2 linked regions of the Arabidopsis thaliana genome follow. The protein of the gene in region 2 interacts with the protein of the main gene of each other region in a pairwise test. Each region holds a gene or a part of one and is shown on either strand. Other genes may lie near its edges. The genes, in order: MKK10 and AT1G14260.

What was found.
Region 1: the proteins of AT1G14260 (region 2) and MKK10 interact in a protein complementation assay, tested with the Arabidopsis thaliana proteins (one large-scale study listed by BioGRID).

The regions. Positions count from the first base shown.
Region 1 is NC_003070.9:11,653,306-11,665,551, reverse strand, and holds MKK10 (MAP kinase kinase 10), read right to left. Parts: upstream 10,397-12,246; coding exon 9,479-10,396; downstream 1-9,478. Other genes in the region: NHL8 (NDR1/HIN1-like 8), read left to right, coding at 1-90, 186-260, 346-853, 930-1,315, 1,389-1,615, 1,704-1,869, 1,962-2,090; AT1G32337 (uncharacterized protein), read right to left, coding at 3,430-3,468, 3,618-3,737; HSFA1D (heat shock transcription factor A1D), read left to right, coding at 5,318-5,605, 7,026-8,182, 8,275-8,287; SAMBA (valine-tRNA ligase), read right to left, coding at 11,014-11,054, 11,312-11,422, 11,783-11,933; GulLO1 (D-arabinono-1,4-lactone oxidase family protein), read right to left, coding at 12,187-12,246.
Region 2 is NC_003070.9:4,867,322-4,880,428, forward strand, and holds AT1G14260 (RING/FYVE/PHD zinc finger superfamily protein), read left to right. Parts: upstream 1-5,534; 5' UTR 5,535-5,702; intron 5,703-5,795; exon of another isoform or gene 5,796-5,839; 5' UTR 5,840-5,878; coding exon 5,879-6,118; intron 6,119-6,219; coding exon 6,220-6,291; intron 6,292-6,372; coding exon 6,373-6,440; intron 6,441-6,532; coding exon 6,533-6,683; intron 6,684-6,755; coding exon 6,756-6,842; intron 6,843-6,929; coding exon 6,930-7,109; 3' UTR 7,110-7,206; exon of another isoform or gene 7,207-7,310; 3' UTR 7,311-7,586; downstream 7,587-13,107. Other genes in the region: AT1G14240 (GDA1/CD39 nucleoside phosphatase family protein), read left to right, coding at 26-222, 327-456; AT1G14250 (GDA1/CD39 nucleoside phosphatase family protein), read left to right, coding at 1,354-1,930, 2,157-2,269, 2,494-2,601, 2,799-2,841, 2,986-3,183, 3,266-3,363, 3,462-3,658, 3,750-3,882; AT1G14270 (CAAX amino terminal protease family protein), read right to left, coding at 7,778-7,819, 7,910-8,016, 8,103-8,194, 8,270-8,362, 8,437-8,486, 8,574-8,707, 8,791-8,873, 9,040-9,147 and 2 more; PKS2 (phytochrome kinase substrate 2), read left to right, coding at 10,336-11,664; SBH2 (sphingoid base hydroxylase 2), read right to left, coding at 12,986-13,107.

The sequences.
Region 1 (12,246 bases), 6.8 Mb from region 2:
ACAATTCTGAAAGATTTGCGATCTAGTGTCAGTGAGCCAGAGCTAACAGAGGAGCAACTAAAGATGAATGATCAATTACAGGAAGATGAGGTAAACTGAGCTATAAAGTTTTGACCTTTGTGATGTTTCAATAGCTTTAGGACATTTATTCATATCAAGTTTTGACCTTTGTGATGTTTCAACAGCTTTTGGCATTGGGGTACATATATGGAGGAAACATGTTCATCTTTGATCGGTATAACGATATGCGATACTTTCAGGTCAGAAATAAGCTGCTTAGTACTGACATGTTTCGTATCGGTAATGTGACATAACAATATATTCTAATAGTATTGATTTGTGCAGGTTCATGTAAACGTTGAAGCTACTAGTGAATATACTATCTCTACAAAGCTTAACTTACAAGCTGATTCAAGCAAAGAGTCAGAGGATTTCTTGTACTCTTTCAAGGCGCAACACCTTCCACCGATTGTGTTGAAATGTTTATTACCAAAAGCTTATCCGAGCCACTTACCGCCTTATTTCTTAATAAGTGTTCAGTGGATGAATCCTGATAAGATTTCAAGTCTCTGCTCTAAGCTGGACTCGTTATGGAGTGAACAGCCAGGGCAAGAAGTCTTGTACCAGTGGACAGATTGGCTACAGAACTCGTCGATTTCTCATCTTGGTTTTGATAATGAGATTGTTCTTGGTCCTTATGGTGTTACATGTTCCAGAGATAAGCGTGCTGTGTCTGGAAGTCGTTCTCCGGATTCAGATATTCCTTATATTAGGAGTTATGACGATGAGAAACGTCATGATAGCTTCCTTCAGAGCTTGCATGAGTGCTGCATATGCTTCTCTGAATCTGCAGGTATATCTTGTTCTTCTTCATAGCTGTTTTCTTTAGTAATGTGGGTTGGTTTACAGTTGTTTTACACCCTCTACAGGTATCGACTTTGTTAAGTTACCATGCCAGCATTTCTTTTGTTTGAAATGTATGAAGACCTATACAGACATACATGTCACTGAAGGCACAGTTAACAAGCTCAAGTGTCCGGACTCGAAATGTGGAGAAACTGTTCCGCCAGGGATATTGAAGAGATTGTTGGGCGATGAAGCGTATGAACGGTGGGAAACTCTTATGTTACAGAAAACACTGGAATCCATGACTGACGTTGCTTACTGTCCTAGATGTGAAACCCCTTGCATAGAGGACGAGGAACAGCTTGCTTTATGCTTCAAATGCTACTTCAGTTTCTGTACACTTTGTAAGGAAAAGAGACATGTGGGTGTGGCTTGCATGAGCCCGGAACTTAGGCTTCAAATCTTGCAGGTATCATTATTGTGCCTTTGATCTTCTCTTTGTTAAACCGTTGACTCTTTCTTACATGTAAATCTCTATACAGGAGCGTCAAGATTCTTCTCGTCTTGGAGAGGAACAAAGGCGGAAAGAGAAAGAAATGATCAATGAGATTATGAGTGTGAAGGTGATAATGAAAAGCGCTAAACAATGTCCGTCGTGCAAAATAGCCATCTCAAGAACCGGAGGTTGTAACAAAATGGTATGCAATAACTGTGGTCAATACTTTTGTTACCGTTGCAACGAAGCTATCACTGGTTATGAACATTTCAGGTTAGTGATGTTACATATATAAAAGAACAGATACATATGTATATAAATCTTGGAACTAAGTAAGCTCCGTCTTTTTTTTGGGAAAAAGTGAGGGAAAATGTGAACTGTTCCCACAAGAGGCGATCCAAGAATGGAATGAGATGATGAATGAGAGACAAGTCATTGGACAGATTCAAGCGCAACTGTTTGCACAAGGCGGTCAGTTTCCACAGCGCGGTCAGTTATGTCCTAATTGCCGCCAGTTCAATGGAAAGGTAAGAAAATAAAAAAATTTGGTTTTAACAAAGGCAGAGAATTATAGGTTTTTGAGGTTCATGAGATGATTCTGGAGTTTGTTATTGTGTAGGCGGGAAACAACAATCACTTGTTTTGTTGGGCATGTCAAGCACATTTCTGTTATCTTTGTAAGAAAGTGGTGAAGAAATCTGCTCAGCATTATGGACCAAAGGGCTGCAAGCAGCACACAGATGGGTAAAGGCATGTCTGCAAAGATCAACATAGAGGTTGTTGTCGTTTGTTTTAAAGTCCAAAGAAACATTGATAAGTTTGATACATTCTTCGATTCAGGTTTCAATATTTATTATACTTGGTCATTATCGTGTCTTCTCATTTGCTTGAGGTATAAAAACATTGATGGGTTTGGTTCATTTTTCGGAAAGAAAGGTAACCTAAATGTTCTTAGGTTTCCTAGATTCTCTTCGTATCTTGATTTTTGATTATCTCATCCACTACTTGAACCACAAGTCTTGTCCAGATAGGATTGAGATGTCAGCAACCACAGAGAGTGATGGAGATTCAAAGCAGTGGTAGTGTTGTATTATATAAACTGTCATGTTTACCAATATACATCGTATACTTTAGATTTTATTTTGACTCTTTAAAGTTTTCGTAAGTGATGATAACAAACGACTCGAAAGGTAACAATAGCATAAAACACTAGCAGAAAAATAAATAAAAAACGAAACAATTATCTAATTGTGGCCAGGATCTATTACAATTAGCAACTACTACAAAAGTCCACAGTTCTGTCTCATTCAAGTCTTTATTAGCTTAGAAGACATGCAAAAAGTTGGAATTGGCAAGTGTCTCGGTGACGGAGCAGCACCCATTGTAACCGAACCACCAAACAATTCTCCTTCTTGACTCGGTTCTTGAATCGGCTTCTCATTAACCGGTTTAGAATTTGAAGGTTTCGAGTTATACAGAACTTTTTGTGGGTAATAAAAACGTTTCAAGCCGAAGAAAGGAACCAACTTTACATCATGTAAACCAAAGAGACAAGAGAAGTAATGGAAACCAAATCCGTATTTTGTATGAAACGGAACGGCATAAACGTTTCTGACCATGTAACGGTGTGTTATCATTATCGACATCTTCAAAGAGAGATTTTGATTATTCGATCTGAGAATTGTAAACTCTTCGATGTGTAGTAGAGTAATTGTGAGAAAATAATGGGAGGTTATTTTATAATGTTACGGTAACACACAAAAAAGGAACACTTCCTGTATTTTGTTGTTTCCTTTTCGGGTAAAGCTATTTAGCTCTAATTTAGGAAATTACAAAGTAAATTACTAATTACATATGCAGTATTACTTTTCTTCCTCTTCTTTTTTTTTTAATCATAAATATAACCTTTTTTTACTTCTTCTTCCTATATCTTTTTTTTTTCTCTCTTTTTATTCCTCATCTCCGCTCGGATCTGCTGCTTAAGCAAAGCTTCATCGATTTTGATTAAACTCGAATTGAGACCTTCCCACATTATTCCACCCATTGAAATCACTTGATTCATTTTGTAGAAGATTGATAACACTGAATCAGCCATTGTCGACTTGATGGATTGTGTTGATTGTTTTCTGGTGTTTATAATTCCCAGATTGATTTTAAGATGAGCAATTGAAAGAACAGTAATAGAATTGGATAAAACTTATTTAATAATTGAGATGTTGATTTTGTTTAATTGGGTTGTTCTTTTGTGAATTGTAAAATTCATGCGGAAGCTCACCTTGATCTTCTCTTTCTTAGCCATATTCTTAGCAACGATTCCAGTTTTCAGGTCAATGTCGATGTTAACGTTATTAGCAATTAGAATGCGTTTAAAATGCTTTGTTGAATATCTCTTCATTAGTTACGACAAATTTGTATGTGGATTCAAAGTAAATCTAACACCCATCGTAACAATCAAAGAGAGAGATAAACTATTTTTTCAAATAAACATAATCTGGAATTCTATGGGAAGAATGGAGAAGACAAGACCGACAGCAATTTTGTTTTTTTTTTTTTTTTTTTTTTTTTTTTTTTAAGAAGGTATGACATATAAAGTGATTTGGTATCAGTTTGAATGGATTTTTATCGGGTTTGGTCAGAAAACCGATTAAACCCAAATATATGGGGAAATAGATGAAAACTATCGATTTTGGGAAATATAAATCGAGAAGTATCTTTTCGGGGACATCTGGATTGTGGTCATACTTAGGGCTCTATCTGGCATGATGTCATAGTTATCATGGAGAAATAGACCGTTTGACCGACAACAATTTTGTTTTTTTTTATTTTTTTTATTTTTTTTTAAGAAGGTTTGACATATAAAGTGGTTTGGTATCGGTTTGAGTGGATTTTATAGGGTCTGGTCAGCAAACCGATTAAACCCAAATATATGGGGAAATAGATGAAACTATCGATTTTGGGAGATATAGATCGAGAAGTATCTTTTCGTGGACATCTGGATTGTGGTCATTGTTCGGGCTCTATCTGGCATGATGTCATAGTTATCATGGGAAAATAGACCGTTTTCCTATTACAATACATATGCCGGCAAAAAAAAATACATTTCTATAAGCTAAACCGACAAACAAACATATTTTCCGTAAACAAAAATAGATACAAATGGAAAAAACCTAGAATAAAGGAAAACATTAAAACTAAACAAAAACTTCTCAACCTCATAACTAAAGAACTCATAAATAAAGTACAAAATCTAAATATGAATTGAAATAAAATACAGATATGAAAGTAGAGATCCACATAGAGGAAATAAAACCATGACTTTATTTTTTAGACGATGTATTTAATATAGTATTTTAAGTGATTTGTGTAAAATTTACAAATCATATATTATTTAATTATGAAGTTAAAATTTTTTAATAAAATTTAGTGTTATTAAACTAATGATTTAAAAATCTACTTTTATTATTATTCAAAATAGTTTGTAGATTTAATTATTATTATTTTTAAAAGATTTGAAAAAACTTTGTTAGTTACTAATACATAAATCTCTGATGGAATTTGAAAAGATTGTAAGACAAAATAAAATTTCAATTTATTATTTTAACGAATTAAAATCGATACTCGTGTCAGGCTAGTCAGCCCAAAAAGAAAAAACAGAGCGTAATAGCGAATAATATAGTGACACGTAATAAATCATCCGCTTTTAAGAGAAAAAGCGAAATGTCTAATTCCGTAATTTCGTAAGTGTTCATGAGTCTCCCGTCGTCTCTCTTTCGTCCTCTCCATCGATTTCAAAATCTCTCTTCTGATCTATATCTCTCTCCGCCCATATCTCTCGTGAATGTTCTCTGAGAATTCTCTAGATCTTCAATCAAAAGTTATCTCTCTCTCTCACCTATTGTAAAAATCACCAGTTTCGTATATAAAACCCTAATTTTCTCAAAATTCCCAAATATTGACTTGGAATCAAAAATCCGAATGGATGTGAGCAAAGTAACCACAAGCGACGGCGGAGGAGATTCAATGGAGACTAAGCCATCTCCTCAACCTCAGCCTGCGGCGATTCTAAGTTCAAACGCGCCTCCTCCGTTTCTGAGCAAGACCTATGATATGGTTGATGATCACAATACAGATTCGATTGTCTCTTGGAGTGCTAATAACAACAGTTTTATCGTTTGGAAACCACCGGAGTTCGCTCGCGATCTTCTTCCTAAGAACTTTAAGCATAATAATTTCTCCAGCTTCGTTAGACAGCTTAATACCTATGTAATCTTCTTCCCTTTCCCTTCGCCTTTTTTTTTTACTTCATCATTTCTCGATTTTATGGATTTTGTTCCATTAATGTTGTTCCCATGGTTGCTTTATGTTTCTGAGCAGAGGAGTTTTGTATCCATTAGAATCGATAGTTAGTTTCATGAGTATGCTTTTTAGAGACTACTTTATTTGCAATACTTGATATCTTGTGATTGTTTAGTTTAGAACCTCACGGCTTTGAAATGATAGATATGTGAGAGCGTTGATGAAGCTGACTGTACATACAAACTTAGGGGGATGAGAATAGAGATGTATACCCTTTTTTTTTTGTCTTTGTTGTCTGTTTGACTCTCTGTAATCAGGTTTAGTAATAGTCGTAAGATAGTAATAAACCTTCCTGAATTTTCTCAGCATTCATTATAAAGGAGAAGAAAGAAGAAATTTGGAATAAGAGAGCAAGTCTCATGTTGATCATGACCTGAGTGCAAGGTTATCAACTTTCTGTTTTACTAATCTATCATTTTGTTGTAGATGAGTCAAGGTTTAGTGGAGATATCTCACGTCTTTGAAAACCTTAAAAGGCCAATGTGATCAGGAGTGCCTGGAATAGAAACTAGATCTTAAGTAGATATATGGGTGTTTAGTGTTGGAATATCTATATTGTTATTAGTGTGACTTTAAATCTTTATCTGGCATGTCAGTTACGGGAACCATAGGTTTGCTCTGTACGGTTGCACTTAGATTAAATACTTTTTATTCATATAGGCTGGATGGAGATTTTATTGTGTATATAAGTAGATAACTATATAAGCTTTGCTCTAAAGGTCATGGTGAATGGAGCTTGTACTGCATAATATTTAGAGCAGGATGCTCGTGATGCTGCAAGATGGTGAATGCACTTAAAGGAGCTTGAATTTTCTGCTGACAGTTCTTGTTTGCCAGTTATTCCTTAGTTACTGTCTGTGTGGTACATGATGTCTTACATGTTGGGCACTATTTGAAGCAAAATTCAATCTTTATGAGTTTATACCATGCAGACTTTGACATAAAGATTACACTGGTAGATCATAGATACTTTTCACCCTCTTAGTTTTCAGTTATCCCTATTAGATATTTTGGTTTTTCCTCGGTTTGGGTGGTAGGTAAGACCCATAATAGGAACATAAATAAAGTAGTTTTCATGATTCATATATTAAATTGACCATGATTGGTCATTTACTTGACTTCTGAATTAAAATTGCTCTTGATGCATGTGCCAACTGATCAGTTACGTCCTGTATATGGCTGTTTCAATCTGTGGATAGTTGGCAGTTAAAAGACTATGTGTTGAAGGTTTTAGATTTGCACTTCTAAAGCTGTCGGATGAATTCTTTCTCATTGGTCTTGGTGGAATCCATTTTCATTCCATTTTGCGTGTCTTTTCTTGATACAGGGTTTCAGGAAGGTTGACCCAGATAGATGGGAATTTGCGAATGAAGGTTTTTTAAGAGGTCAGAAGCACTTGCTACAATCAATAACTAGGCGAAAACCTGCCCATGGACAGGGACAGGGACATCAGCGATCTCAGCACTCGAATGGACAGAACTCATCTGTTAGCGCATGTGTTGAAGTTGGCAAATTTGGTCTCGAAGAAGAAGTTGAAAGGCTTAAAAGAGATAAGAACGTCCTTATGCAAGAACTCGTCAGATTAAGACAGCAGCAACAGTCCACTGATAACCAACTTCAAACGATGGTTCAGCGTCTCCAGGGCATGGAGAATCGGCAACAACAATTAATGTCATTCCTTGCAAAGGCAGTACAAAGCCCTCATTTTCTATCTCAATTCTTACAGCAGCAGAATCAGCAAAACGAGAGTAATAGGCGCATCAGTGATACCAGTAAGAAGCGGAGATTCAAGCGAGACGGCATTGTCCGTAATAATGATTCTGCTACTCCTGATGGACAGATAGTGAAGTATCAACCTCCAATGCACGAGCAAGCCAAAGCAATGTTTAAACAGCTTATGAAGATGGAACCTTACAAAACCGGCGATGATGGTTTCCTTCTAGGTAATGGTACGTCTACTACCGAGGGAACAGAGATGGAGACTTCATCAAACCAAGTATCGGGTATAACTCTTAAGGAAATGCCTACAGCTTCTGAGATACAGTCATCATCACCAATTGAAACAACTCCTGAAAATGTTTCGGCAGCATCAGAAGCAACCGAGAACTGTATTCCTTCACCTGATGATCTAACTCTTCCCGACTTCACTCATATGCTACCGGAAAATAATTCAGAGAAGCCTCCAGAGAGTTTCATGGAACCAAACCTGGGAGGTTCTAGTCCATTACTAGATCCAGATCTGTTGATCGATGATTCTTTGTCCTTCGACATTGACGACTTTCCAATGGATTCTGATATAGACCCTGTTGATTACGGTTTACTCGAACGCTTACTCATGTCAAGCCCGGTTCCAGATAATATGGATTCAACACCAGTGGACAATGAAACAGAGCAGGAACAAAATGGATGGGACAAAACTAAGCATATGGATAATCTGACTCAACAGATGGGTCTCCTCTCTCCTGAAACCTTAGATCTCTCAAGGTAACTAAAGATCAACTTTAGTAGTTGTCTATCAAACTCTAACTATTCAAGTTTAATTGCTTAGTTATTTATATTATGTTTATTTCACTCAGGCAAAATCCTTGATTTTGGGAGTTTTTAAAGTCTTTTGAGGTAACACAGTCCCTGAGAGCAGCATATTCATTTTTCATACGCTGATCTTTTATTTCTTCTTTCTTGTATCAAAGTGGTTTAACATTACTGCTTCATACAACTCTCAATTTTACACAAATTCTCTATCAATATGAGAATCTGTGTCATGTTTCAGTCTCTTGTTTGAACTTTTCGCTTATTTTGCTTGAAGAAGAGCAATGCGAACTTATTAAGTCAACATAACTATTCATCTGTTCTCTTTTTTTGACATTATTAATCCTTCATGAATGCCGAATAAATCCAAACTAAACTAAAATTCATAACTTCACAATACCAAAAATTTCATACAAAACATATTGAACCGAGTCTATGTTTAGTGTAAACTAAACCGAACTATTTCAAATACCGTAAAACCTCTATAAATTAATATTCAATAAATTAATAATCTTTATAAATTAGTAAATTATTTCGGTCCCGATTTGAAACCAATGTAAAAATTGATACAACTCGGATAAATTAGTAAAATAATATTTTTTTTATGAAAATCTTATATAAATAAATGGTCTCATCAATAATATAAATTAATAATTGTATAAATTTACCAATATATATCTATATATAATATTATAAATATCATATGTAAAAAATGACTAGTTATGTTTTTCTTCAGTTTTTATTAATTTTTTGTAGTGTTGAATTCTAATATTTTACAACATCAAATTTCTATTTTTATTTTTTAAATTTAATAATTGTTTTCTACTTGTAATTGTGTTTCAGAAATACTATTGATTATAAAGAAAAAAAAACTTTTTATATCAAATTTTTTGTTAGAATTAACAAAATTTATACAATTTTATTAATTAATACCTTTCAAAGTAATAAATTTTTTTTGTCCCAATATTATTAATTTATATAGGTTTTACTGTAAACAGAAAATTTGTAAGAAAAAATAAATCAAGTATTTTTAAAAAAGTTATTAAATTTTTAAGCCTAGTCAAAAGTAATAAAAATTTCAAAACTGAACTCGAATCAAACCAAAAAGTTCAAACTAAACCGAACCAAAGAATTTCAAAGGAAAACCGAACCCAAAAATTCAAATTAAACCGGATCAAACTGAAACTAAAGTTCGGTTCCTTAGTTTATGACTTGCTTTTCTCAACCCTGAAAACCAAACCGAGACTAATGCTATCTGTTTTTCACAAAAGAATGACGAAGAAGCTCTTCCACAGTGTCTCTCTTCCTCCAATCCTTCTCCAAACATCTCCCAACAAAATCTCTAAACTCCAACGAACAACTCACTGGAATATCCACCTTCTCATTGCAGCAAATTGCACAAAATAATGTCGCCCAATCCGGTTTATCCCCAACTTTGGTCAATGGATATCTTCCAATGTAACACTCAAGAACCACAACTCCTAATGACCACACATCTCCTGCAAATCCAACTTCTCCTCCAAAACCCCATTTCTCTAGATCTACACGTTCAGGACTCATATAAGCACATGTCCCATTCGATCCATAGTCTCCTCCGGCTACTATCCTACTTGCTCCAAAATCCGCAATCTTGACCTCTCCTTTCTTATTAATAAGGAGATTTGAAGGCTTTATGTCTCCATGAACTATTCCCATTTTTTGCAGATAACGTAACCCTTGGAGGATTCTGTTAGCGAGACTCGATACCATTGGCTCGGAGAAAACTTGTTGAGCAAGTAACGCGTCATGGAGAGATCCTTTCTCCATAAGCTCCATCACGAAACAGAGATCGTATAAACTAACAAAAACGGCATAGCATTTAATGATAAAACTCGATTCGATTCGCTTGAGGATGTCGGCTTCGACGGTGACCGTGGTGTTGAGATTTGGCCGGAGGACTTTTAAGGCGTAAAGCGTTTTGGTTCTCCGGTGACGGGTTTTGTAGACTGTCCCACCGCTTCCTTGTCCTAAAACGGAGAGTTTCTCGAGATCGTTTAAGGTTTGAATCGGCGATGTTTCAGGGCTTGACGATGAAGAAGATGCCACGGAGAAGGCGGTGCCGTGGTAAATAAGTGGTGGAATAGAGAGTGTGAGAGGTTCTTGGTGACGTCGTTCTCTAACAAGTGTCATCTAGGTTATTTGCTTGCACTTGTGGTTTTCAAGTCCTAGGTTACATAAAAAGGACATGACACGTGGCAAATGGGATTACTTGTATGACACTTGTCAATCAGTGTTAACAAACTTAAGCAATTTGTGGTTTTTAGGTAGTGGTGATCAATTGATTCCTGATAAAAATAGGTAAACAAGTTTTGGGATTTAATAATGACCTTTTGGTACTTCTTTTTCCGTACATATAGTAGAATCTTTGTTTTGGGAAGATGATAATAACCTAATTTTTTTAAAGGAACTAATAAAAAGTACCAAGTTAGACAAAAAATCAAGAAAAATATCTGGATTTTAAATTAATTATTCAAACTTAAAAATTGTCTTTGATGAAAGTTGATTATCTATATTCTTGAGAATATTGAAATTTCATTTTCGAGTAATAGACTCATTAGCCGAATAATGATTTCCTCACTTGTATATTAACACCATAGAAATACTATTTTGTCCCTTACAATGGGAAAATATAAAGTTAACGTTTTAGTGACATTTGTGAAGAACACGAAACAAAGCGTATACGACCATTTCTGATATTTCTTACTTGAATGAATCCGATCATCTAGGAAGCTGAACAAAGCTTAATTTCACCATAGCTTCACTTCACCTCCTTTCTTTAGAAAATTACCTAATCAGAAACAAATATACTTCAGTAGAGTGTCTTAGTGATGACGAAACACCGAAAACACACACACAAACCCGCAGATTCGATCAAATGTTCTCACCATACCGACTTGCCTAATCTAGAGAATGGCAAATACATGAAATTTTGAACCATTGGGATCATTACTGCTGTTAAAACTTATTCAAGATTGATATAAACGTACACATGAAAACAGCTTTGTGACATACAGAAAAATAGGATTGAAGAAGAAGAAAACTAACCTCTTCTGGATATAAGATGGATTCGAGAACGAGGACCTTCGAACATCCAACTATCTTCTTCCAAAGACTTAACCTCTTTGTCAAGTTCAGTCATCAAATCAGCTTTCAAAACTACACCATCAAAACAAAAACCAAACCTATTACATAACATATCTCAAACAAACACTTGAAACTGAAGCAAGCTTTTTCTTAATCTACTCATGTCCTTAATCATTTATTAGTAATTAATTAGCAATACTAATTATCTAAAGAAGTTACTGTTAAATCAACAAATCAATCAACCAAATAAAAAAAACTCAGGGAAACAAAATTGGGATTTTCAGATAGTATCAAAAACCCTAAATTTGGAGATGTGATACTCAAATCTCTGATCACTGAGAAATTTGATTACCGAATCTTATAGAAAACCTCTAATTTGAAACCCTAAGATTCGAAATCATGAAACGAAAAGGGAAAAGAGTAAGAACTGACCACGCATAGCTTCGTCTTTTCGCTCTTGCATTGAGGGAATATCCGGTGGAAAATGGAAATCGTCTAGACCAGCGGCGGCGCCACTGCTTCCACCTCCACCAGCTACGGCGGTCGTCGAAACCAATGAATGAGCCGGAGAAGCGCCGTTCATCACTCAGCGCGAATTCAAAATCGAAATTGTTCAGAAGAAATTTGGGATCAACGACGATACATTGACGGAGGAGCCGTAACAAATCTTAAACCGAAATTATTTTATTCGAGGACTAACCATGTAAACCGAATTGAACCAAATAAACCGGCTAAAGCCCAACAACAAAGGCCCGTGTGACCGACCATAAAACTTGTTAAGCTTGTCATAATGAACAAAAGACGTTGTTCTGTAAAATGTTCTGTTTTCACTTTTCTCATATACGATTAAACATCAAATTAAATTTGGTATGATCGTCATAGCCATTTACTGATTT
Region 2 (13,107 bases):
CCTGTATGAAATTAATCTGAATCAGTTCTTTGAGTTGGAAGAAAAGGGTTGGTTGTCTGAATTGATTCCAGCTGGGAAGAGATATTGTGGAGAAGAATGGTCGAAACTGATATTGGAATACCCAACAACTGATGAAGAATATTTGCGTGGCTATTGTTTCTCAGCAGCATATACTATATCAATGCTTCATGATAGTCTTGGTATTGCTCTTGATGATGAAAGGTAAAATTTACTGCACAAATTCAAGAACATTGTAAGATTAATCAAATGTGGGTTTTTTTGGACAAAGATATAAACAAAAACTATACGTTTGTTTTTGTTTGCAGTATCACGTATGCAAGTAAAGCAGGAGAAAAACACATACCACTAGATTGGGCATTGGGGGCTTTTATACTAGATGTTGTAACACCCAATTCTGATTACAATGGTAAATCTAGAAAATATCTTGGCTTTTAAGTAACGTAGCCAAATACAAAATATGAAATCATAGTTTTGTATTTTACGTTAAACTGTGTTTGAAAGTAACTATCATGTCGTCGTTCCTTTTCATGAAATAAGTTAGCTAAGTTCGTAGGTGTGTATCTTCCCCTGCATGGGATCGACTCTTCTCGTTTGTGGGATTGTATTATTGTAATAAAACTCTTTGTTTGGTTTCTTCTCTCAATAATATTGTTACAAAGTTGACGAGTACAAAACAAAAAGAGGAAGGAAACAAATTAAAAAAAAATTACTCATAAGAAAAAGAGAGAGACCAAATTAAAGTAGAGGTGGTACATAATAACATGAAATTCAATATTGTTTTTTTGTTTTTTTGTTTTCATTCTGATTTTGATTATGGACACGAAATCTAAGATTACAGAGCAATTATGAATGGTACTGTTTAAGAAATCGGCCCACAGCGAGTGATGATATATGATCCTTTGTTCGCATGTCCTTCTGTTTTGCACACGTTTTGTAAATGTGCTTTTACTTTCTTTAACTATTAATTTAGGTGTACAACAAAATAATAGATTTTCAAATACCAGTTACCACTAGTTTCTTATCCCTGGAGGATTGGTTACGTGAAATATCTTTTAGGTCTAAAGACTAGAGCTTGTAGTTATAGGTCTTCCTCTGGACTCCTATTTCTCAGTTCTCACTGATTATAAAATCAGATTCTAGACTAATTAAGAAGAACAGGCAAAACGAATTTGCTATTGGCCCGTTACGTTTTTTTTCCTTTAAATAATTTTTACGTTTTTTCACTACGTTTATTGCTATTGCTATAAATTTATCTTCTCAGTTTTCGTTAGAGAGTCTTAAATGCTGATACAATGTTTGTATACGTTCCAGGTTGGAAAAAAATAATCGGATATGGATGCTCTCAAGGTTCAGATTCTACCTGATAACCAATCATCACCTTCGTCCACGCACATGCTCACTAAGCCCAAGTCGAAAAAAGCGACAAAATCGATTGCCATGCTAATCGTCGCTTCCTTGGCTATCACGTTAGGGTTATTATTTGTTTTCAGTTCAAATTCAGTTATGTTCTCTGCAAGTTTTCTTCGGAGAAGTTCACTTCACTACAGCGTCATTATCGATGCCGGGAGTTCGGGGACCCGAATTCATGTGTTCGGGTACTGGTTTGAGTCTGGAAAACCCGTTTTCGATTTCGGAGAAGAACATTACGCTAGTCTGAAGTTGAGTCCTGGTTTGTCTTCGTATGCTGATAATCCGGAGGGAGCGAGCGTGTCAGTGACAAAGCTTGTGGAATTCGCGAAGGGAAGAATCCCCAAGGGGAAGTTGAAGAAGAGTGACATTAGGTTAATGGCGACTGCTGGAATGAGATTGCTTGATGTGCCTGTTCAAGAACAGATTCTTGATGTTACTAGAAGAGTTCTTAGATCTTCAGGGTTTAAGTTTCAAGACGAATGGGCTACTGTTATCTCTGGTTAGTTTTCGGAATCAATTTTTTTATTCCATCAAATGCAATTATGTTTAAGTTGATCACTGACCTACAATTATACATTGTGGGAGTTTACCTTTCTTTGGTGCACTTGTAAACATAAGATTTTTGTTTCATTTTGTTTTCTTTTAGCTTAGTTGAGTGATAGTAAATGTGCACATATCCATTGGCAATTGGAAGTGCTAATTACTGGGGGGAAAATTTTATTCAGGAACTGATGAAGGTATCTATGCTTGGGTTGTTGCCAATCACGCACTTGGTTCGCTTGGTGGTGATCCATTGAAAACAACGGGGATTGTTGAACTTGGTGGGGCTTCTGCGCAGGTCTAGTCTCTTTCCCTTCTCAAATTTGTTATCCAGAAGAAAGTGTCCTTGGCTCTGTTCCTTTTGTCAAACTACACTAGTTTGGATGTATTATGAATTGCATCCAAAAGATTTGGATTTTATGGATACAATGAAAAGTAGGGTCTGTTAGTCCAAAACTATCAAAGACTAAACATACTAGTACGATATACAATGATTGTAAGCCATTTTCTGTATTTGTATAGGTGACATTTGTGCCAAGTGAGCATGTGCCTCCTGAGTTCTCCCGTACCATATCTTATGGAAATGTTTCGTACACAATCTACAGTCACAGTTTCCTCGACTTTGGACAGGTAACTTCTGAGAGCAGAGCATTTGTCTAAATGTTTTTGAGTACTTATTTTCTATGATTTCACCCTTTTCAAAAAGTTATCCGGAAACTTAAGTGGAAATTGCGTCCCAGTTTTCTACTTAATAATATTCTGATTTTTAAAATTTCCTTGTAGAAAATGCTACCAAAAGTTTTGCTAACTTTTGTCGTATCGTGCAGGATGCAGCAGAAGACAAGCTATTGGAATCACTGCAGAACTCAGGTTAGTTGTTGATAACTTCTTAAAGTAATCATTAGTTTACTGAAATTGGAATTTTTTTTGTTAAAGCTAATTAGTAATAGCCCTCTTGAGTTGGAAATAATCTTCTTTTACCTCAAAACTAATTTGGTTTTTTATTCCATACAGTAGCAGCCTCTACAGGGGATGGAATAGTTGAAGACCCTTGTACTCCTAAAGGGTACATATACGACACACATTCACAGAAAGATTCATCCGGATTCTTATCTGAAGAAAGCAAATTTAAAGCCTCCCTTCAAGTTCAAGCTGCTGGTGATTTCACGAAATGCCGATCCGCTACGTTAGCAATGTTGCAAGAAGGAAAAGGTAAATAGCATTACTTGTATAGATGATTTATAATGGGAATATTTGATCTCTTATGGCTATATTTTTGGCATTTTGTGTACAGAGAATTGTGCTTATAAGCATTGTTCTATTGGATCAACATTCACACCTAATATTCAAGGAAGTTTTTTGGCAACAGAGAATTTCTTCCACACATCCAAGGTATAATCCTTTGAATTTCATGTTGGTCGATGTCAAGATTCCGTCTGAATGTGAGGAGAATTGTTTGAACATTGGTCTTTAATTTCTGTCTTGATCAGTTCTTTGGGTTGGGAGAAAAAGAGTGGCTGTCTGAAATGATTTTGGCCGGAAAGAGATTCTGTGGAGAAGAATGGTCGAAACTGAAAGAGAAATACCCAACAACTAAAGACAAATATTTGCATCGTTATTGCTTCTCATCAGCATATATTATCTCAATGCTTCATGATAGTCTTGGTGTTGCTCTTGATGATGAAAGGTAAATGTTATTGCACAAGTTCAAGATCAATGCATGTTGGTTTTCTGTGACAAAGATATAAACAAAAACTATATGTTTGCTTTGTTTGCAGAATCAAGTATGCGAGTAAAGCAGGAAAAGAAAACATACCACTAGATTGGGCATTGGGCGCTTTTATACTGAATACTGACACACCCACTTCTGATTACAATGGTAAATCTAGAAAAATGATTGGCTTTAAGTAACGTGGCCAAATACAAAATATATGATATGATCGTAATTTTGTATTCTACGTTACATTGTGTTTGAAACTTGTATTCTACGTTACATTGTGTTTTGAAAGTATAGTCGTCGTTTCCTTTTGTGGAATAAGTCAGCTAGCAGCTACTCATTAATAAATTGAACGCCAATATGTGGTAATGTATTATGTATGTGGCGGTATGTGTATAATTTCGACATTATAAGAAAACCTCTGCGACCTTACGGTTGTTTGAATTGCCAATTATAATTTTATCAATTACTTTTTGTTTACTTGACTTTACGTTCTTTGAACTATTCAAGTCAACAACAATACATTAGATAAAGAATTACCACTAGCTGCTTATCCCGAACTCTACGTAGAAATTATATAGTACGGCTAGAGAATAAAGTCTATTCTGCTGATAGATAGAATCATAGAAAGCCAAAAAAAAAAAAAAATTTCTTGTGGCAAAAAGCCTACTATAATCTATATTCGCAAAATACACTTTTTTTTTCTTCTTTACTTTGTAATACTAGATATCAAAGGTTGTGTAGACTTTTATTTTGTATTTAATTTTTTCTGCTGTTGAGAATTCATTACTCGGTGATAAATCTTTTCCCAACCGGGTGACAAATGTAAAATCACATTTCATAATGGTCTTTAGATCTTATTTTTTTATAGCTAGAACCAGTCTTGGATCTTACGCAAAATTAATCTAAATTCTACCATAAGTCGTTAGGACGCTAAAATCCTAAAAAACTAACATTTCTTGGTTCGACAAGCTAATTAACAAAAAAATTGTATAATAGTAAGGGAGTCTATCTGCATTTCACCTATCTGTGTCAGATTATATATAAAGAAACATATGTATACGTGACCATGTCTTTTCTTGTTAAATCTTTCTTTACTGAATACTTGACAATTTCTATAAGAATAGCTCAACGGTCAATAATTTTCAATCCGTACAACTAAGGACTATATAGACATGTATGTTCCCTGATCATTTATGGTCAACCACATTAATATGTTTCTAAAATATTAGACGTGAGTTCTATAATATTCTTCAAACAAATTGTTTATTTAGTGAAAATGATCAAGTGTTTACTTGATTTAATGAATCTAATTCTTCCTAGTTGTATTTTGCCAATAACCTTATCTATTCCAATATATCTACATTATAATGCGTATAATACTACTGTATAATACAACAGAGTATATATAATCCAGCGTATTATTGACTTTATACTCAAATATTGCATTAACAGAAAAATGCAAAATATATATTTTTTAAAGAATTATATGTGAAATAACAGTTTAATAATGAAAATAAAATCTAAAATTAAAGATTAGAAAAGTAATATTTATTATGGAAACTGACGAGTTTTGAAAAGATCATGGGATTAAATGGTGTATTATTTGTAGTTATACGACTTGGTTTTTTAAAATTATAATCAAAAACAACATGTTGTTAATTAAAGAGGTACTAGATGCTGTCAGAAATAGACCAACAAAAAAGAGAGACTACTTTAGATTACCACTAGGAGCCGTTATACTTAAGTTCTGGTCAACGGCTATATAACTAACGGAGCCGTTAGTCTTTTCAGACGTCGTTATCTTTCCCGCTATAAAAAGCCATTTTCCATTAGCTTGATTTCCGGGCCAAACAAAATCTTTTGTGAAGAAACTTTCTCTCATCTTCCCAAGGGAGAGAGCAAATACCAAAAACTTCTTTTTGCGTCTCTCTTCTAACATTCCTTCCTTGCCGATATTTCAGCTCACGACGAGAAAAATCTCACCGTTCACGCTATATACATCTATTTGCAGGTGATTTTTTTTCTTCTAGATTTGGTATCTCGTTTTCTCCGAAAATCTCGATCTTGATCTTTGCTTTTCTCGGATTCGTAACGCATGTGTCTGATTAGAGTTCATATACTTGTGAATTTCTTGTTTTTCGTATTTAGGGATTTGATTTCGTAGAAGTGGTTTTGGGAAACACTGAGATGAGTAATCATCACACGGTCGTATATGTTAATGGATTGGTTCGACCGGTTCTCGCGGAGGCTGAGTATAGTATGAGAACAGAGTCTCCGGCGGATAATGCAATTGATATCTACGACGGAGATACTACGGAGAATGAGGAGGAGGATTCACTGATTTCTTCCGCGGAGTGTCGGATTTGTCAGGATGAATGTGATATTAAGAATCTTGAGAGTCCTTGTGCTTGCAATGGCAGCTTAAAGGTAGTTTTTTCCTTCATTGTTTCATGATCACTATAGGAACCTATAGTTAGTTATCAAGAGAACATTTGAGTATTGACTTTTAAGTTTTACGTTGTGATCAGTATGCTCACAGAAAATGTGTTCAACGTTGGTGTAATGAAAAGGGAAACACTATATGCGAAATCTGTCATCAGGTATATACATTCTTTCTCTTGATACTAATGATGTATGATTTGTAGAGGATGCAGCTCAAATTAAACTTTCTCTTATTCCAGCCATACCAAGCTGGATATACCTCTCCACCACCACCACCACAATCTGAAGAAACTACTATTGACATTGGGTATGATCATTTTCATTATTCTGTTTCTGTCATACACTTTAGGTTTGGTTTCATGACTTGTAATTGTTCTGACTTATTTGTCTGTTTTTTAGTGGAGGATGGAGAATCTCGGGTTTGGATTTAGATGATCCACGTCTCTTGGCAATAGCAGAAGCTGAACGTCAGATTTTAGAATCAGAATATGATGATTATACAGCTTCAGATACCAGTGGAGCTGCATTTTTCCGCTCTGCTGCTTTAATAGTAAGTCTAAAGCTCCTCAACAAGTTTCAATTACTCCCGAGTATTTTTACTAATTTCTCTTCTCTTTTGCAGTTGATGACTCTTCTTCTATTGCGACATGCACTGACTATACCAGATTATTCAGATAGTGAAGATGATGATCCTTCTTCAATACTTTCTGTAAGTTACTACTTCTTCCTTTTTTCCAGCATATACTGGAAAAGTTTCGTATAAGTTCTAACTCCAAACCACAAAATCATCTTGCAGCTTTTCTTACTCCGAGCTGCCAGTTTTCTTCTTCCTTGCTACATCATGGCATCAGCCATCAGTATCCTGCATCGCCGTAGACAGAGACAGGAAGCAGCGGACTTGGCCACTCGGTTTGCGTTGGTGCTCAGCTCGCGCCAACCTAGACCCGTGATTAATTATTTGTCAATGGAGCCATGATTTTATAGTTCCACTCTAAGAGTTTCAGGTGTATATGCTTTTCAAATATTTCATCAGAAAAAAGATTCATGAACTGCTGTTAAAAGAGTGGTTTACAGTAAGTAGAAAGAAGAATCTCTTCTTCTTCTTCTCACTTCTTGCAAAGCTATTGAAACTATCTTTTCTGATGAAATCATTGAATCATATGTGGTGTTAATCAAGATTTGGTAGCAACAAGAACCATCACAAGATCTACATGATGGTCCTTCTGAATCAGCTTTCTTACAAACAAGGAGTGTCCTAACTTAGTGCAGAGTTTTTTTTTTTACAAGTATTCGATTCTAAGAAAGATTGTGTATGTAGATTAAAGAGTTTCTGATTCTGTAGCATTAAGATTTTCAATAACACTTGATTGAGAGATGAGCATTTCACTTTTTAGGTAAAGAAAAACGAGACACATAATTTGTAATCTGTGTAAATAAATTTGTTTTTTGTTCCAAAAAGATTCATCTCTACCATATTAGTTCATACATTACTGTCATGATGTTGTAATAAAGATAACTCTACCAAAACCCAAATTGCATTAAGTATGAAATCTGTTCTCGAATACAAAATATCTTACTAACATCGAGCACATAATGAAGCTTTTTGATGTTAAATGCGGACAGCACAAAGAGCATGGCTCAGAGCTAGTTTGCCTGCAATAGCTCCTTAATGTCATACCCTTGGATCTACAAAAAACAACAGAGACAAAACAAACATAAGCTAAGAGTTGATATGTTATTTTGACATTGTAGTGATCATAGGAATGAGTTTTCTACCTGAAGAAAAGTGAGTAGCAAAATAACTCCCGAGTTCCAGAAACCGTGTATGACCATTGGGGTAATGAGATTGCGGGTTTGTGCATATGATAATCCCAAAACACTTCCTAAACCAAAAGATACTTATTGTTCATCCAGAAATGTTCATAACCATGAGAAAATGCAAATGGTTTTGTTTTTAGTTATGTTTTACCTAGAATAAACAGCTGCGGGAATTCACCAGGTGTGAAATGGGCAAGGGCAAACGCAGCTGAGCTGATGATGATCGCTATTGGGGTCGGGACCCTGAAATACAGAACGTAACAAAATGTAGTAAGCTTTTGTCCAGAACCAAATGAGAAAAAAGAACAGAGGTTTTACCATTTGGTAAGAGAGACCATGAAGAATCCGCGAAACACGGTCTCCTCCAGAAGTGGAGCAAGGATTCCAGTTATGCCCACTAAGCTTAAGGTGCTGTATTATGTGCAATGTGTGATCAAATTCTAGTATTAACGCACATCGCAGTTTCTATTTCTTTGAGGAAATACCTTATGTTTGAGGATCCAATTAATGGAAGAAGCTTCATCAAAGAGTCTACCTGAAAACATCACACTAGGCCTCATTACTATTATCCAACAAATATTTCGAAAACAAAACATAAAGCATGGTTTTGAATTCTCCTAACCTCCCTTTCAGGTGCTTCTGTCCTGAACACGGATAAAACAACACCTGTTAACGCAATAGCACCAACAGCACCAACCAGACCGATTCCACCCCACACAAGCCATCCTTTTTGCAGGTTGACGGGTTGTCTCAAATCTGACGATCGAACAAACAGTCAACTACCAATAAAAGAGCAAACCATGCTGATAGAAAAAAAAAAAAAAAAAAAAAAAACGTACCATAGCGAAGAATATCTTCAGGAAGTGGGTCGAAGGTTTTGGCAACAGTGAATATGACAGCAAGTACCACCGCGGTTGTTAGGCTGCCAAATATTTAGACAATGTTATTCAACATAAGCCAAACCTCAAGAGAGATAACTAATTTTACAATGTGAAATCAGCTAAAGCAACGAGATTATATAATGAGTTTACATTAACAGAGTAAAAAAGAGCAAAGAATACACAAAAGAGTAGTATTTTTTTGGTTACCCTTGATCCAGGAACAAAATCTCCGCCTTATCGTCCAAGGTCAGTTTCTCAACGTCGATTCCTAAAAACGGTATGACTGCCATCTCGGTTAATCCTGTCAAAACAAAACTGCCTGGGAACAAAATTAATCTCACTCCATGCATTACACAGAGAATAGTCACTGAACATTAAACTATTTAACCATAACAGAGAGATTATCTTTCAGATCAGTCTACTCAACCATCACATTTATCTTAGCACACAGTCTATGTACTTTCATCAAACTCCAACCCTAAAGTCATCAAAAGGGAAAGCTTTTGATGAGAGTACCTTAGTGCACAAGCAAACGAAGTTAACGAAACTGTCTGCCATCCCCATGGAACTTCCCATCTCTGAAGTATCGGCCACTCTGAGCTACCTCCTTGTAACTACAACAAATATAACAATCAAAACTTCAAATAATTTCTCAAAGGTCTAGTCTTTTTTCACATTCCAATAGAATTTGGATTCAATTGAACAAGTTACATAGAGCTGCCTCAGAAAAATTCAGACCGGAAACTAAACAAGAATCTAATTTAGATAGAGTCAGTGAGACAGTAACCTTTCCCTCTCCTCCAGGTTCCTTTCCAGAGTTGAAAATGCAGGCCGATCTCCATTTCTTCCGATTAACCGTAAATAACCGGCGGCTAGCAAATCCTGGAGAAAACCGGCTCAAACCGCCGTAAGTACAAGTCTTCGGAAGAATTAACCTCCTTGAATCGGATAAACATAGAAGAGACGAAGATTGAGATAAACACGAGATTATCTGAGAAACCATTTTGAAATTTTCTGTTGTTCTTAGAGAACTTCCACACATGAACCAACACGATTATCAGATTGAGGAAGAGGATAAGATCCGACTAAAACGAGCGGGTAGAAAAAAACCGTTACTTACTTAAAATAACGTTGTTTAAGGCCCATTTATGTCAGTATAGGCCCAAAGCCCATTAACGACCAACTAACTCGACGACAAGTCTTTGTCAGTATATCACAAAATACGTACATCCCTCGTGTCTTCTAATTTGTAATTTTGTTCCTTGGGAGAATCATGTCCACTATTTTTCTTTTTTCATTTTCCTTATAACCAAGACAAAATATAATTAATATTTTGTTTATACATTAGCACAAAATCACTGGCAAATAGGCAGTCTTGTCCCAGTAATGGAACCCACACGACATAGCTTCAAAAAAAAAACAAGGAACTTCCTCATTTCTTCTATTTATATTACTCAAATCTAAATCATCCCTAAGAAATAGTAATACACAAAAAGAAACAAAATGGTGACCTTAACTTCATCTTCTTCAACTCCAAACGTATCTTTTGATTTCATGATGAACAATAATAATAACAGTAACAATCTCTATGGTCCTTTCTCTTCTTCTTCTACTTCTTTCTCTTACTTGACAAGCAAGGAAGATGCTCTCACCCAGAAGAACCTAATGAGTGGTATCACCAATGATGTTCTTGGAATTAACAAGAAAGCTTCTGAAGATTTGGAGATCAGTGTGTTTGGAGCTGAGAAGTACTTCAATGGAGATATGGATTCTGACCACAGTCCTAGACTTGTGTCTCCTCTGCCAGATCCAGAAGTTCCAATAGAGAGAATCTTTGTTGGTCCGAAGCAAAGCTCGAAGAATTCCTCGGAAACTCCTAGTCTTCGGTCTGAATCCAGTTGGAATAGCCAGAGTTTGTTGCTTCAGAGCAAATATGTAGAGAAGAAGAAGAACATCAAGAAAAACTCTAGTTGCAACAGTTACTTTCAGGAGAAGGATATGAGTAGCAATCACAAGGTGAGTAATAAGAAGAGTTTTCTCGCTACTCTTGGCTGCAGATGCGTGTGTTCGAACTGGAGTTCAGTGGATGTCGTCGACGACAAGAGAAGAAGCTCTGGTCTGAAGAAGATCAAGACTCAATTGAGTTTCTCTGGAGATCTAAGCTCGGAGATGAAGATTCATCAACAACAACAAGAAGCAATGCTAGAGCAGAGGAAGTCTCTGGAAATATTTGGATCTCCTCTTATTGAGAAGAGAATCATTCAGAAGAAATTTCCATGGGAATACTCGAGCTCTGCGAAAAAAGAAGAACATGGATTCTCTGTGAAGTATGAAGAAGAAGAAGATGGGAGTGTGAGCGATGTAAGTACGGATCTTTTTGAGATTGAGAGCTTAACAGGGAAGGCAAACCCTTTTCTTGCAAGGCAAGGAAGTAGTGATCCAGACTCACCAGATGGTTATGCACCAAGTGAGGTAAGCATACAATGGAGTGTAGTGACAGCAAGTGTAGCAGATTTCTCTGTTATGTCTGAATGTGCTACGAGTCCCGTCAAAAAGAACCGGTCTTTTCAGATTCCTCGAATCCCTATCATGGCAAAATCAAACCGAGAAATCGCGCCTCAGAGACGGAAATCTAGCAGTAGCGGTTTATTAATGGGATGCAAGAGTCATAAATCTGTCAGAGTTTCTGGTGATTCATACACAAGCATGAACAGAACACCGAGCTATGTTCCAAGATTCCCTGTAGAAGCTAATCCAACAAGCACTGAAACAAGAAGGAGGATCAGCAGTAGTTCTGTTTCTCACACGCAATCGCCTTTTTTGTATACTTAATTATGCCAAAAACCTGAGCTCCTTTCGTTTTACATGTAAAATGTCTATTGAGTGGAAAATATTTGATTTGCTAATACCATCTTCATATTGTTGTACCTGAAAACAGTAGTTTTTGATTTAACTGGTTTATTAAGGAAGAATGTCGATAGAGAAGTGTAAATCAATCTGTATCATCAATCAATACTTATCTGCTGACCACAAATGAGTAAAAGATGAAATGTGATGCCAAGAACTCATCTATTGTTGCCAGAGATTATAAGGAACTGCACCATGTGAACAATAGACACTTGGGTCTAATCCGCAAATAAGACATAACCAAGAGTGCAATTCCATGTGAAATATTAAGATGTGATTGTAACCTTTTGTTGACTTAGGAGACATAATTAAATGCAGCACGTAGACTAGACACAAAACACATTTGGTCCACCTCATTTTCATGTGCTTGTCTCAAGAATAGAAAGATAACCTCATTAGGCTTAGATTTAACGGTTTAATCAAAGACCGTACGAGTTGCCTAAAAGAGCCTTTAATGAGGAAACTCAATCAAACAATGATAGTGTCCTTTCACCTAACATGTCTTAAAAGCCACTCCAGAGTCTTCTGGTCCAGAACTCATCTCCAGTGTCAAGACCATGTGATGATAATGAGATAAAGTAGACGTCGACAAAACCTTAATTGTGTCATTGATGATGATATGTCTCTGTAACCAACTCAGGAGGAATGTTAGGTTTTGGGAAAAAGATTGATTTGTCATACAGTTTAAAGTTTTAGTTCAAGATTCAGATCTTACAGCTGGATCTAATCAAGAAACAACCTTTTGATATTAAACCCAATCAACCATGTCACAAAGTATCAATAGATCTTGAAGATAAGTATTGTATCCTTTTCAAAGGTCCACTTTTGAAATAATTGAACAGTGACTTCATTTAGTCTATGAAACTAACTATATAGAGAAAAACTACCCCGTTGCTGCCATGTTTGGAGAGGATAAGAACAACAAAAGCGAGAAGCCCTTTGCATAAAAGAAAGAATCAACGACTCTGCGTATGTCAATTCGTAACAAAGGAGATCAATGAGACTCTCACAGGTCTCAAAACCTGGAATTATAAAGCAGATAATAATAACAGAGAAGATCTGAAGTTTTGGCTATTACAAGATAAATTTACTGCTGGCTTACACAGAAACATATGCCCGCAGATCGAAAAAAGGATAGATTGGAATTGTATGTACAATTACAAGTACGCAAAGGTTACAGTGGTTCTCTAACGAGCAAAATGATGACTTAGCATTGACAAGAAGCCCCAAAAGAAAGAAAGAGAAATTACTCATCTTTGGATACTTTGATTGGCCGTGTTTCAAATCCTCCATTGGCTCTTTTCTCCAATGAATAAGGCAAGTAAGTGCCGAGAATCCTATCCCACATAACAAAGAATGGCTGCGAGA